Linked DNA regions of Kluyveromyces lactis. The protein of the gene in region 1 purifies or fractionates together with the protein of each later gene. This does not show direct contact. Links are inferred from orthologs where the notes say so. Each region holds a gene or a part of one and is shown in the gene's direction. Other genes may lie near its edges.

Region 1 (5,222 bases):
AAACAAATTTGCTGCTTCAGATATCAGAAATTATGAAGCTCCTACTACTTCATCAAAATACCAATCTTTGAAGTCTTTTTCTTTATATTAACTGAAGTAATTAAATTTTAGATCAAAGGATTACTTACCCAGTTTTTCCAAAACTTTCGTGTTTTGGTGTTGCAGGATGAAGATACTTGAAGTCACGTGCGTTAATAAGATGAAACAAATGGTCCTATATTTAAAAAAGAATACATACTGAAGCTCATCGAAACAGCGAAGTGAGAACACATCAATTATGTCTCAATTCCGTCTGCTTTTTTCGTTCCTTTTAAAACTATATGTGTATTAATTTGGACTTTTCCAAAGTTGTAGGGACTTGTCATAAAAAGAACAAGTTGCAACTGTTTCTTTACTCCAATCACCACCGTAACACATTGATTCATGCCCTTCTTTTATAAACTGCTCGGTCACGAAATGATCGTTTTGGACGTTGACAACCTTCGCACCATTATACATGCAACAAACCATAAGTCTGTTATTTGACAGTCCGTCATTCGTTGGGGCCTCCGAGAATCTCCAAACACCACCCTGTAAATTGTCTTCCCATTTATTAACCACAGGGACGTCTGTCCCTGGATATATTGTGGTTTCTGAGAGCATTCTTAGATCAAAGGATCGTATATGGTCATCATAAGAGCCTGTGATTAAACTTGTTGGCTTGTTGCCTCTAAATGTCTCCCTAGCAGCCTTAATTGCCGTAACACCAGCTTGATGAATTTTTGAATTGGACCAGATCTTTTTGCCTGAATTCAAATCATGAGCTGCAATTGCAGAGTCGTCACCACCAGTGAATACAACATCTTTCAAAGGAGCCAAACAGCCGAACTCGCCGGTCCAGCACTCCAAAGAATGTTTGAAATGAAAGATTTGTTCATGGTCATTCTGAACATTTATAACTTTGATGTCTGCATTTGGCACCTCAATATAATTTATTGTTGAGGAGTCGAAATACGATGGCTCCACCTCCTCTATAAAGCATATTTCACCATGTATGATATCAACAGTAGCAAAATCCCCATTAGTAGTGGTTAAAAGTACGAGATTATCCAGCAATGGAGAAAACTGGAGAGACGTTATTAGACATGTGGGATCAAATACTTGAAGGTTGTTCAATAGTTTGATATCAATTGATGAATTATCATCGTCGACAGATATCGTCCACAGAATCATATTACCGGTTGAATGAGCTGTTGCGAGTAAAGTATCATCGAATGGATTGAGCTTCAAATCTAAAATTGCCCCATAGGTTTTTATGCTAGAAAGAAGGTTCAATTCTTTATCATAAACCTCAATAGAGCCAGTTCGATTGCCTGAGTCCTTATGCAAGAGATAGGTACCCACAATGATAAATTTCTCTCTTAAAATACACAAGCAACATGGAGGAAGACGCGTGGTAACCCTTTTATCAGCTGCAGTTTCTTCCATTCTGCAGAAACTCTTGACTTCTAATTTTGTCGCTCCTCTAAGGTGGTATGCAATACCTATGTTGGAGTCGTACTCTGCATCCTCATCATGCGGGTGCTTTTGTAAAGATTGTTGAGCCATCCATCTGTTCTAGTTCAGGTTTACCACACAATTTCTTTTTTACACTTTACGTACTAGCGGAAAATTTTAATATGTTAACCAGCTCATCTCATCATAAGCAAAGCATCAGCACAACAATCTTAGCAGTTAACGGCAGGTCTACAAGCAACACGGACTAGCAGCATGCCACCAAAGGAAACAACAAAGAAGTGGAAACCTCCAAAGGGTCCAAAGCCTATTCAAAGGAAGAATAAAAACACTATTGGGTTAGGTAAGGCAATTCAAACTGCAAGACGTAAGGAAAATGAAGTGCAGTATTTGCCAGATGGTGAAGAACGTTTCACTACCGATAAGCACGAAGCTAATTGGGTAAAATTGAGATCTGTTACTCAGGAATCTGCATTAGATGAATTTTTGAGTACTGCTGAGTTAGCAGACAAGGATTTCACAGCGGACAGACATTCTAATGTCAAGATCATCAGAATGGATAACGGTGCCGATGCAGCCACATCCCAGGGATTTAGTTTGACCAATGAGCAGAAAAGTAAGATCAACGAGAAGCAGAGATTACATGCTAGAGAGTTGATTGTCCCAAGAAGGCCTAAGTGGAATGAATCTATGACCAGATTTGAATTAGAAAGGTTAGAAAAGGAAGCATTCTTGGAATGGAGACGTAAATTAGCCTATTTGCAAGAAGACAACGAGGATTTGTTATTGACTCCATTCGAGAGAAACATTGAAGTTTGGAGGCAGTTGTGGAGAGTTGTTGAGCGATGTGATCTAGTAGTCCAAATCGTGGATGCCAGAGATCCATTATTATTCAGATCCACAGATTTAGAGAAATATGTGAAAGAAGTGGATGACAGGAAACAGAATTTACTTTTGATCAACAAAGCGGATTTATTAACAAGAAAGCAACGTATTATTTGGGCCAAGTACCTTCTCTCGAGGGGCATCTCTTTTACATTCTTTTCTGCTGCCAAGGCTAATGAAATATTAGAGAGACAAGAGGAACTAGGGGATGAATACGTTGAAGAAGAGGACGATGAGGAAATACTGGCTACAGAGGAAGAAATTGAAGAACTTGATGGGGAAGAAGTGAACAAAGAAATTCTGGATAAAATTAACATACTGAAGATCGATCAACTTGAAGAATTGTTCTTAGATAAAGCGCCAAACGATCCGCTACTTCCTCCATTGCCCGGTCAAGAGCCAATCATACAAATAGGTCTAGTGGGTTATCCAAACGTTGGTAAGTCTTCCACTATAAATGCCTTGGTGGGTGCCAAGAAAGTTTCTGTCTCTTCTACCCCTGGTAAGACCAAACATTTCCAAACTATCAAGTTATCTGATAAGGTAACGTTATGCGACTGTCCAGGTCTAGTTTTCCCTAATTTTGCATACAATAAAGGTGAATTGGTGTGTAACGGTGTTCTACCGATCGATCAGTTACGTGACTATATTGGGCCATCGACATTAGTGGCAGAAAGGGTCCCTAAATACTTTTTGGAAGCCATTTACGGTATCCATATTCAGACCAAATCCGTAGAAGAGGGTGGGAATGGTGAAGTACCAACTGCACAAGAATTACTCGTTGCTTATGCCAGAGCTCGTGGTTATATGACACAAGGTTTTGGTGCCGCAGATGAATCTCGTGCCTCTCGTTACATTCTCAAAGATTATGTGAACGGTAAACTCCTGTACATTAATCCACCGCCTCACATGGACGATGATACGCCATATACCAGAGAAGAATGTAAGGAATTCAACAAAGATTTATACACGTTCAGTAAATTACCTATCAACAGACAAGAGCAACTTGCAGAAGCTGCCAAACACAAAGGTATACAAGATTTGGATCTTGCTCGCGATTTAAGTCGATTAACGTTCTCTGCTCATATTGGTGGTGATGGTGATAAAGTACAAGCTAAATCTGTCAACCATGGTGGTAAACAAGCAGCCTTGTACAACGTAGCTGATGAACTTGACAAAAATTTCTTCCATTTGAACGGTGTTCAAGGCAGACTTACGAACCCTTTCCATAAGCAAACCGTCGCCAACGAAAATGGTAAGAAGCATAACAAGAAGAACAAGAAGAGTAAGAAAAAGGCTTCCATGTTTTCCGATTAATGTAAGTACTATCTAAATTCATCCTAAACTCTTATATATATATAAATCCACTGTTTGCACAGTCTATTATCCCCATTCATTATGGAAATGTAACTGCATATCCTTTATATCTTCCTTAGCTGCCCTGCTTCCGGTTATAAGACCTATGGTTAGCATGCAACTTGTCACTGCATTACCCGGTGTTTACTGAAAAATTTGATGAACCAAAAGAAAAGGATACAAAACTTGGTTAAAGTTGGTTTACTTTATACTTGACCTCAGTACATGGTCCAGTTGATAAGTATTCTTGTCATTTGTGGTTATCTTTTTGGTTCCTAGCTCAGCAAACAAGGGCTCTTAAACACATTTCGGCATGTTCAATTATGGTTCGCGTTGTGGTTATCATGGCGCAGACTTATTCCACGCATGTAGAAGTAAGCTCAAGATGCCCAGAGCTGGGATACTCCCATTTAACGCCCTTTTCGCTAACAACAACTGAATTCCTACAGTTTGTAGTTTGATAGTAGGTGGGCGGAAATATTACCCATTTAATTGGTTCAGTAGTTTCCTCTGAAATATTATGAGAGTCGTATGAATTTGTATATCAATAAGATTTAGCAATAGTTAACCAAGTTCAGCCTTATGTTATACTTACCATCGGTAGATACATTAAGTAGCACTCGGTCCACTCTTTCTTACATGCGCTTTTGTAAGGGTTGGCAAGGGTCATGCTTCAGAGTGAATGACTTTCATTCAGACAGCTCTGTTATTTCTTTGATTGAGGTTTGGGATAATATTTTAGTGACATAAAACAAAATGTAATATAGCCTTTAAAATAATACTTAGTACAATTCCAATCACAAATAAAAAGGGATAGCGCCTCGTTAAAGGACATTAACTGACGGAATATGACGACAGATTTAGACACATTAAGTGATCAACTACGCAAAAATTATTACAGGGACCTTTCGCTCTTTCAAGATGACGAAGACCCTTTTTACCATTATCTTATATCTACAAAACTGGCCACAAACTTAAATACCGTGAGAAAACTGGCTATAAAGGATAACTTGGATGATCCGTCTTCTGATGCTATTGATAGATACCAGAAAAACTTTAGCAGACTAGAGGAATCGGTTAGCTCTATCAGTTTCTCCAAAGCTTCTAAGTTGCAACAGAAATATGATGCATATCAGGAATCTCAAAAGAAAAGGCGATATAGTGTTGATTTCGATGCAACGCCCGACGTGCCTATAGGAGATGAGGACGATGTTGATATAATATCCAATGTTGAAGCAATTAATGACAACGATTCTTTGAAGGAGCTCCGCCAAAGGCTTATGGGTAAAAGAAGGGACAGCGCTGATACGGAGGGTGAATCATTTGACAAACAAATGCAAATTCAGGATGATCTTCAGAAGGAACTGGTTGAAGACATGTCCCAGCTAGTTTCAGGCTTAAGACAAGGTGCGGAAGCTTTCCAGAATGCTATCGAACACGACTCTACTGTTCTTAAGGCAGCAGAAATCGGATTGCATGTTACTTCT
Region 2 (5,462 bases), on another chromosome or scaffold:
CGGATTCATCAAAGTCTTCGGAGGAATATCCAGTATTTTCTTCGCCTTCATTTCCTGAATCGTCAGAGTCTAGTTCTTCCAATATCTCCTTCTTAGGATCTGTTTCAATTGGAGTATTTTTCACAGTCAATGGAACAGTGAAGTCTAAATCAGAACCAAAGTAATCTGGAGACTTGATAACGACTCTGAAGAAATATGTGCCTTCTTCTTTAGGAGCAGGCTGAGCGAAAGGAATTGAGAAAGTGCCGATGGTCCAGTCTTCAGCGTTAAATTCCTTGTCTAAATCTTTAATAACTCTTTTATCGAAATTGACATCCAAATTTTCTAGGGACAATCTTTGGGCCAAGCTTGGGGTTTGAATTATTTTACCATCCTTTTGTGATACCACTAACGCATACCAGCAAGTACGTCTCTTTGTTGGAAGCAAAGGTGCGAAAGTTTCAGGCAACAATGGTTGTTCCAACAATTTTTCGAAGGGATCCTGTTCCAATAACAATGGATCATCGCCAGCTATTTTTTCAGCTGGGATCAATGAGTTTGGGAAAAGTTTGTGTCTTGGAGAACGAACCAACACTTTAACTTGAATGTGAGGAGTAGAACCTGGTTCTGCGGTATTTAGAGAAGATCCACGAACTTTGAAGGAGCCCTTGACGAGCTTCAACTTAGGAATACGAGACGCTACTTTCAAAGTTTCATTGAGTGCTGTTTCATCTTTTATTCCTAGCATCTTACCTATCTTATCATCTGGGTATGTGAATAATTTACCCAAGGCACAAATATCATCTGTAGTTGAATCCAAGAAATGCTCTTTATCCACGTTTGGTAATTGAAAGATTTGAGAGTGTGGCGATAACGGAGTTGCCTGTACCACTGTCTTATACGTGTCTAACGCCATCAATGCAACTTCAGTGTTCCTAAAAGTGGATGCGATTTCTATCAATTGATGGAAAAGTAACGATGATTTGGTAAGCACATAGTTCCTTGCATATTCGTTTTCAGTCTTTTCACGGTTAACATGGGAATGGATAATGTTAGCGATGTCCACGGAAGACAATTCTGGGAATTTCAATTGGAATTCTTTTGCTTCAGAGATCCATTTAATGATTAAGTCTGGCACAACAACATAAGATGGTTTGAAGTTGAACATTTTGTCAACGAAGTGAGATGCTGTTTCAGAATGAATACCGTGTTTTGTGTACTCTTGCGAAGTGCTCCACCATTTAGAAACTACCATGGGTAACACAAACGCAAGTAGAATGAAATATGCAAAAACAACAAATGGGGAAGTACCTCCTTCCACCAAGAACTTGGGCAAAGCGATACCGTGAGAAGTAGATTGAGGACCATCTGGATGACCATACTTTCTATAATTTTCCTTCGTAATTTCATCAGTTAAAGCCTTATAAGCCTTGTTAATCATCACGAACTGTTCCTCCATAGCCGTTCTTTCAATCTCATTTAGGTCCTTGGAAAGCTTATCGGGATGGAATTTGACAGATAATTTCCTGTATGCAGACTTGATCTCTTTATCGGTAGACGAAAGCGTCACACCAAGTAACTCATATGGATCAAAAGCCGCTGCTGCAATCTGATAGATAGCATCGTTGGAACGAATATGATAAATCAACATCGAAATGAGCACCCAACCAACGGTAATGAAGTAAATTCCCTTCTTGGACCTTTTCTTCTTATTAGCAAGTCTATATTTCCGAACTTCTTCTGAAGTATATTTTTCGTGCAATTGACTCCATTCTGATGAAGAACTCTTATCGCTGGAGTCCCCAACAATCAATCTATACAGCTCAATCAATGTTACCGGTGTAACAGCCACAAATAACACCGTGAGTACGAAAAATGGCCATGTGGTGCTTGCCTCATCGTAATCATAATTCTGCGGCATGGCGTCGTTGTCTGTTCGTCTGCTTGTCTGTTGTAGAACCAAAAGACTGCCAATAAATTAAGCCGCTACAATAAAACACACAGCAGGCAGCAATCAAAAAAAGTGAACCACAGTGTACTATTAAACAAAAAAGCCTTCAAACTGCAAACAATTATTCCTCTGATCTAGAAAAGTAGTTAACAGTTAACTTATTTCGATTTTAATATGCCAGTCTGTATTTTCCAAAAACCTTTGGGTTTTTTTCCTTCTGTTTGAAACACTATACGTATTCAATACGGCAGAGCTTAGAAGAACAAATAGAAGAGAAAGACCAAAAAAAAAAAAGATATTTATACGTCACGTGCTCGTAATATATCACATGACCTTGAATTTTCTGTTTCGATTTGGTCGATCATCTCTTTCTACTAAACTGAAGAATAAAATTAAAAAAAAAAATGCTAAAAACCTAGAAATAATCAAAAAATGTGCTAGTCTCATTGGTAATTGAGATGGGAATAGAGATTGAAAGATGAGGCTCACCGGGTTAACCGATTTGGTTGAGAAAAGTCTTGTGATATAGCGTTACTAGAGTGATGCAAGTTAGTGGTTTTGGTAACGTGAATCAGATTGGTGCTTTGGCACAGCAAAACCAATTGGATAACTTAGTCAGCGTTAGCATTCGTGGATGGACTAACGCTACTCAACAGGATTTGTTGAATTTCATTTCGAGAAAGACCAGGATCTCAGTGAGAAACTCTGTGGTTCAAGGGGACACTATAGTTGGTTATGTGACACCGCAGGAGGCAGATCAATTGGTGAAATTTAGTGGGTACCGGTTTGCAGGCAATTCATTGAAGATTCACAAGGCAGCCGGTGGGAACACAAACCCTAATACGAATGATACGATAACCGTTCTTCGTAATGTGCTTTTGAGAAGATATAATGTGCAAACGAGGATGTTGGATCTTGGTAATTTGTTCAATGATCCGGAGTTGGTGCAACGCGGTATGGCTCCGAAAAATGTTAATACGCAGTCCAAGATGTTCCCGGCTATGATGAAAGTGGCTTCAAAGGAGCCTAGCATGGTTGTTGAATCGATCAACCTATCTGATAATAATTTGAGAGACGTCAATGGTGTTACCACGTTGGCACAGACTTTCCCTCATTTGAAAAACCTATGCATCGCCAATAATAGTATTAGTCGATTCCATTCTCTTGAAGTTTGGAAGAATAAATTCAAAGAGTTGAGGGAGCTTCTGATGATGAATAATCCAATTACATCGGATCGTTTATATCGTACAGAAATGTTAAGGATATTCCCCAAATTGGTGATTCTAGATAACGTTGTCGTTCGTGACGAGCAGAAACTACTGTCTATCTATAGCTTACCGGTACAACAAACCCAGTTCTTTTTCGAAGATAATGGATTGGCATCATCGTCAACAGATTTTATTACCAACTTCTTGAACTTGTGGGATTCGAATAGAATGCAATTGATGGGTTTGTACACTCCACAGTCTCAATTTTCCTTAAGTGTTGATTCTTCCGTTCCAGCTGCTACTGTACCTAATGCTCAAACGACTCCTACATTCGGTCATTACTTACCATTTTCAAGAAACATTTCCAAGATATCTAGCGACAAGACCATCCAAGAACGGTTACGTATAGGGCCCGAAGCAATTTATGAAGTGTTCGGATCTCTCCCTATGACAAAACATTTTTTGCAAGAACAACCTGATGCTTACTCTGTGCAAGCCTGGACCTTCCCACAAGTTCAAGGGTTTGTTATCACTCTTCATGGCCATTTCGATGAAACTGCCAAACCTGAAATTGACAAGAGCAAAACATCACAAGGATCATCTGCCTCTAGAGGAAGGAGATACAACCATGGATTTACGTCTACGCCGAACATCAAACTTTCACAGAAATCCTTCGATAGAACAATGGTCTTAGTTCCAAGTCCAAATGGTAGTGTCATCATTGCATCTGATTCGTTGACGATAAGGCCATTCTGTGATAGCGCTTGGTCTAAACCACCTTCTCCACCACATCTCCAAGCTCAATCTGTGCAACATCAGCCACAAATGAACGTGCCCCTCTCACAAACTCCGCCAAATACATCATCCATTCCTGGCCAAATCCCGGGAGTTCTTGGATCGACACCTTTGCAATTCTCACCGGAAGTGCAAGCAAAATTGTCACCTGTACAATTAGAACTACTTCAGAAGTTACACCTTGAAACAAAGCTTAACGCTGAGTACACTTATATGCTTGCCGAGCAAAGTCTTTGGAACTATGATAATGCTATCCAAGGATTTAGAAACAGTGCAAACAATCTACCCAGAGAGGCATTCATCTAAAAGTATTGAGCTAATCATGTGCGCTTCTTTAAAAAAGAACATCTTAATTCATTCAGTATAATATATAGTTGCATCTCACACAAATAAATTAAACTAAGTATATCCATCTATTTATATCAGTTGGATTCAAGGTGACTTGACTCTGTGACTATTTTTTATCATATATCCTGTTTGTCACAAAGTGTACGTCAATAAAAAAAGGGCCTAACATTCAGAACATTATACTAGCCAATGAACTCTTAAGCAAATTACAAATTGTGATTATAAGCTCACTACAGTTTTGCTGAAAACTCACTATTCCAAGGCAATATAACTACATTAAATGAGATCGATACCAGAACCTCGCCAATCAAAATATAATCGATTTAGAAGGTTATTTAATAAGGTGCATAATTGTGTCACTTTGAAAAGATTGAAAAGGCGATGGAACCTACACAAGTTGAAGAAGAGCTCAAGGAATACAAATCAGAGATCTGCAATCCCAATAGACCGTATTGCTAATCTTCCTACTGGTATGTCGCATAAATCGAGTAACATGAAACCATTGCTTCTAGTATCGTTTAATAAAGGTCAGGAGAATTCGCCAAAGGTGAGAATTCTAGAAACCAATGGACATTTGAGATCTTGGATCAGCGGTAGAAAATTCTCAATGAAACGAATAGTGAATAACGCATCTGTAGAGAGAGATCCTTATCAAAATTCGAGGCACACAGTTAGGCAAGAAGTAGCAAAACACGCAGATTTAAAGGTCAATTATTCTGAACAAGGAATCGTGAAAACTGTCGACATACCGTGCTGTTACACAGAAGATCCGAAGTTGATTAATATAGGACAAGAGCACACTTTTAGAATACGTGACTATCCTTCTTTGAATCCTAGTCAGCGAACGACGAGAAATGGTTTCAGGAGTAGAAATCAGCCTGAACCTGTTTCGCGCTTCTTCTTTGAGGAAGTTGCAGAGACCATGTCCTAATCCATCATATACAGACATATAAATTATCTGGACTTGTAGTACACTAGAAAACAGAAGCATAAATAAATACAAAAATAGTCCTTAATCTCACCAAGGCCTGAACAAATATTCTAATTGTTTACACCGGGTTCAGCTTCCAAACTTCCTATGCATGGGTACTTCTTTTGGAAATGCGCAGCCCATCCTTCTAGAGCTCCCCGCTCTTGCTCGTTTAAGTCCTGGAGAGTATCTATAGGTTGGTCCCAGTGTC
Region 3 (4,473 bases), on another chromosome or scaffold:
TGATCCACCACTGGTGCCAATAAACTAAAAGTTCCATTATTTCTTCATGCACTCAACCTGTCATCTCATCTCATCTCGTTGTGGTTTTGACGTTTACTGTTCTTGCATGCAAAGAAAAATGTTTGCTGTGATGTACGGGTTAATTTCACTTGAGCATGTGATCTGTTTTTGGAATCCTCTAAGTGCCTAAGCAATAAGGGGAAAATCGGATAGAACAACAGACTATCTATCCATCCCCAAGAGGATAGCCATAGCATTTCCATATATATCTGTCGAATAACCACCGCTAAACGAGACTTAATATATTTCCTATTCGCAGATGAGGGTCAAGGTATCTATTTCTGGGAAGAGCGACAAAGTTTTAACTGTCGAAGCCGAATGTGATTTGGAAACATTTCAGGGACTCATTCTGTCCTCATATGAAGATGATCTATCATTGCAGAGTATGCGGTACGGATTCCCACCTCAGAGTATACTTTTTCAGGGGAATGAGGCTAAGACACTTGAAGAGCTAGGAATATGCAATGGGGAACGGATCATAGTGAGCCTGAGTAAAGCCGATGAAGCTATTGCCACCAGAACACAACCAAGTATTAATGCCAGTAAAGCAAATACACTACCCAATAAAGAAGTGAAAAAGAAGCCCACTGGTAAATCTGAAAGTGTACAGATAGATTCAACTAGAGCACTACAACTCCATGAAGTGCCCGATGACAATTCGTGTCTATTCCATGCTATATCCTATGCTGTCTACAAGAACATTTCACTGTCATCAGAACTACGGGGAGTTGTGGCGTCAGAAGTCCGGAGAGACCCATTTGAATATTCAGATGCTATTCTTGGCAGGCCGAATCATGAATACAGTGAGTGGATAATGAAACATTCTTCATGGGGAGGTGGTATCGAGATTGCAATATTATCGAAACATTTTCAGTATGCGATATACGTGCTCGATGTGGATGCACGTAAATTCGAGAAATTCAACGAGGATTTATACGATAAATTTATTATTATAGCATATAACGGAGTTCATTATGATACGGTAGAGATATTTGATGGAACTCAGCATCAAACTGTATTTGACATCGGAGAGAAAGATACTGAATTCCTTTTACAAAAAACACAGGAGATCGCGAAGAAGATGAAAAGAGAGGGGAAGTCTTTCAATACTGCAAGAGATTCAATTTTATGCAATACTTGTGGCACCACCTTGATTGGAGAACGAGAGGTGAGCAAGCACGCTGAGAAAACTGGTCATGTTGATTTTAGGCAAAAATAAAACAAATATAACCATTGAATAATATTGAAGAAAGAAATAGCACTTAATATATGAGCGTCTGTATATCTACCAGTTTATATAATTGCACTTTCGGTGTATTTCTCTTGTGTTAAATGATAATATACATTGAAGAAAAAGCACAGGAAGTGAAAATGTTTTCCTGCATCTAATCAGCCATTTGAATTTCCCCTTCAGCAACTACAGCTTCTTGCTGTGCTTGTTCCTGTACTGCACCATCAAGGTATGGCAAAGTGGATTCTGTTGTGCTGACGTTGGCCAAAGTGGTATCAAGATGTGAGGTTAATATCTTTTCGTTTTCCTCCTTTTGAGGACCAATTTGAGATTTGATCTGCTCTACTCTAGCCAAGAACGAGTTCACACCACACCCAACAGCAGCATCTGCTACCTGTTGAGTGTATGGAACACCTTTCAATTCCTTCACCCTTCTCTTATGGATTTTAGTCTTCAAATGAGTCTTTAAGGCATATGCAGTTTCGAAATATTTAGCACAGTGTATGCAGTAGTATTGCCCTAGACCCGGTTTAGTTTCATCTATCGGCTGATTCAGGAGACTATCAATTTGCTTTTGAGATGTAAGCTCTTCATAGATCAAATCAAGATCCTTTGTTCTTCTCTTCGTCTTGTAACGTTTAACAGAATATCTTCCCATTTTCCTTTCTTACCTTCTCCTATATTTCTGACAGGCTGGTACCACAGATTAACTTAAACTATCAAACAAAACCAATGAGTATCTAAGTCTCATAGAGAAAGAGATTCAATGATGTGTGTTTGTACTTCTTTCTTCGCACTTGGCTTTATCGTAGAAACACCGAGTACATAAAATTTTCTGCAATATCATGTCTCGTCTCATCTCATCTCATCTCATCGACTTGGAAAAGAAATGAAATTTCAATCAGCATCACGTGCATAACAACGCATCTGGGACTGCTATCCCCAACACCCAGACACTATTACATATTGGCATTCAACATATTTTTATGATACAAAAACAACCACAATAGGAAATAGAGCACGTGATTAGTAACTATTTTCTTTGATTTGTTTTCACAGTAGTTTCTTACCGTGTGACTTCGCTACGACTTTCCAATCTTTTTCAAGTTTCTGACAAATGCAAAAGCTTCCTGCAATAGTTGGTGGTAATCATCGAGATTTTCAAATGTAATAAAAAGAGAACATAATTTAATGATAATTATCGATATCTTTAACATAAGGTTTGATCATTCGCTTCAATTTTGTTTATTATTTACAGGAACACCGATCACCTATCACCGTCCAAAGTAATTCAAAATGGCTAGAAGACCAGCTAGATGTTACAGATACCAAAAGAACAAGCCTTACCCAAAGTCTAGATACAACAGAGCTGTTCCAGACTCTAAGATCAGAATTTATGATTTGGGTAAGAAGAAGGCCACTGTCGATGAATTCCCATTGTGTGTCCACTTAGTTTCCAATGAATTGGAACAATTGTCTTCTGAAGCTTTGGAAGCTGCTCGTATTACTGCTAACAAGTACATCACCAAGATGACTGGTAGAGATTCTTTCCACTTAAGAGTCAGAGTCCACCCATTCCACGTTTTGAGAATCAACAAGATGTTGTCTTGTGCCGGTGCCGATAGATTGCAACAAGGTATGAGAGGTGCTTGGGGTAAGCCTCACGGTTTGGCTGCCAGAGTTGCCATTGGTCAAGTTATCTTCTCTGTCAGAACCAAGGACAACAACAAGGACACTGTCATTGAAGGTTTGAGAAGAGCTAGATACAAGTTCCCAGGTCAACAAAAGATCATTATCTCTAAGAAGTGGGGTTTCACTTCTTTGAACCGTGAAGAATACGTTAAGAAGAGAGACGCTGGTGAAATTAAGGACGATGGTGCTTTTGTCAAGTTCTTGTCCAAGAAGGGTTCTTTGGAAGAAAACATCAGAGAATTCCCAGAATACTTCGCTAAGGCTTAAATTTTTTATGTGTTGAATCAATAATAATTTCATCGTCATTTTAAGTAACCTAACCTACATACTATTTTAGCTTACCATTATGTTTTGGAGTTAATTCAATATCATTTTTCTTTCCTTCTCTTTAATCTCAAGTATGGACAATTCTCCCGAATAAAATGATACAAACCTATCCTTTGGCAATTACAATCATACGTAAATAATACATATAGATCCGCTTGGCAAAAACTAGGATTCTGTTTTACGTACAAATAATATTTGATCCAATGATGTACTTTTCAAGTCGAATTTATGGTAATTTCCAAGTGCCATATATGCAATCTTAGCCTTCATCCTTTTTTCTAAACTTGTAGGTGAGATTCTTCCTCTCCCTTTACTTGTAAGGATCGACGATATGCTGAAGATATGTTCGATATGAGTCGATGAAACAGCAATGCTGTCCATTAGGTGATTGAAAAGTGAAAGGATGGGGCAGTTTTTGATATCAGCCCAAATCTTGTGATGAACGTCCCGCATAGTCAATAAGAGATATTCATATTCACTTAGTTTGGTTCCATTAGAAAGTTTGAACATACCAATAGTCTCTTCATAAACGGTACCGTTACAATTCATATGATCTTCAGTATACTGAACGTGCATTTTATTGTATTGGCCATTGAAGCTTTGGACTTCTTTTAGAACCATTGAATAGAAAATGTACCGGAAATGTGATTCATCTATCCTTTGGTCATCGATGGTTTCACTGCCATCATCAAATACAATACTCATAATACCAGGTATACGTGGCTGAGATGTTGTGTCCATCCCGTTTTTCACTTGAATATTTAACATGGGAAATAAGATATCTGTAACAGCGTCACTGACACATCTTGACAAAAGCTCGTTATTCTTTTTATTGTTGCCCTTTTCGTACTGAAGGTTTAGTTTTTGCATGAGGTATGGCAAATTTCTGTACCCACAATTGAAATAACTAGCAACTACCAATAATCGTTCTTTCTCATAGGACTCAGTGTACTGTTCAATTTTACTCAAAAATCTCTCTATTTGAGTTAAAACCACAGTTATTCTGTCGTCATCCTTTGTAAAACCTAATTGTTTCCTATTAAGTTTGGCTTTCAATTTGATAACATGTGGCACTACAGCGTCTTTATAACTGCTTAAGGCAGAAAGCAAATACCTCGATGTTGTCTCTGGACTATTGAAAAAAGCTGTTATCGTCTGAAATG

The links. Proteins that work in one complex are often made in the same cells at the same time.
Region 2: the proteins of LSG1 (region 1) and MEX67 purify together in Saccharomyces cerevisiae (affinity purification with western blotting; 8 studies listed by BioGRID, with this or other methods). This does not show direct contact. The link is inferred for Kluyveromyces lactis from reciprocal best matches to the Saccharomyces cerevisiae genes LSG1 and MEX67.
Region 3: the proteins of LSG1 (region 1) and RPL10 purify together in Saccharomyces cerevisiae (affinity purification with mass spectrometry; 5 studies listed by BioGRID, with this or other methods). This does not show direct contact. The link is inferred for Kluyveromyces lactis from reciprocal best matches to the Saccharomyces cerevisiae genes LSG1 and RPL10.

What each region holds. Positions count from the first base shown.
Region 1 is NC_006042.1:640,405-645,626, reverse strand, and holds LSG1 (ribosome biogenesis GTPase LSG1), read left to right. Parts: upstream 1-1,749; coding exon 1,750-3,696; downstream 3,697-5,222. Other genes in the region: RRT2 (diphthamide synthase), read right to left, coding at 328-1,587; SNAP receptor USE1, read left to right, coding at 4,584-5,222. UniProt on the Saccharomyces cerevisiae protein: GTPase required for the nuclear export of the 60S ribosomal subunit. Acts by mediating the release of NMD3 from the 60S ribosomal subunit after export into the cytoplasm.
Region 2 is NC_006039.1:845,079-850,540, reverse strand, and holds MEX67 (Mex67p), read left to right. Parts: upstream 1-2,472; coding exon 2,473-4,239; downstream 4,240-5,462. Other genes in the region: protein-transporting protein SEC63, read right to left, coding at 1-1,900; OSW1 (Osw1p), read left to right, coding at 4,562-5,212; DAP1 (Dap1p), read right to left, coding at 5,323-5,462. UniProt on the Saccharomyces cerevisiae protein: Involved in the export of mRNA from the nucleus to the cytoplasm.
Region 3 is NC_006040.1:485,434-489,906, forward strand, and holds RPL10 (60S ribosomal protein uL16), read left to right. Parts: upstream 1-2,587; coding exon 2,588-3,250; downstream 3,251-4,473. Other genes in the region: ubiquitin-specific protease OTU1, read left to right, coding at 320-1,279; BUD20 (Bud20p), read right to left, coding at 1,446-1,949.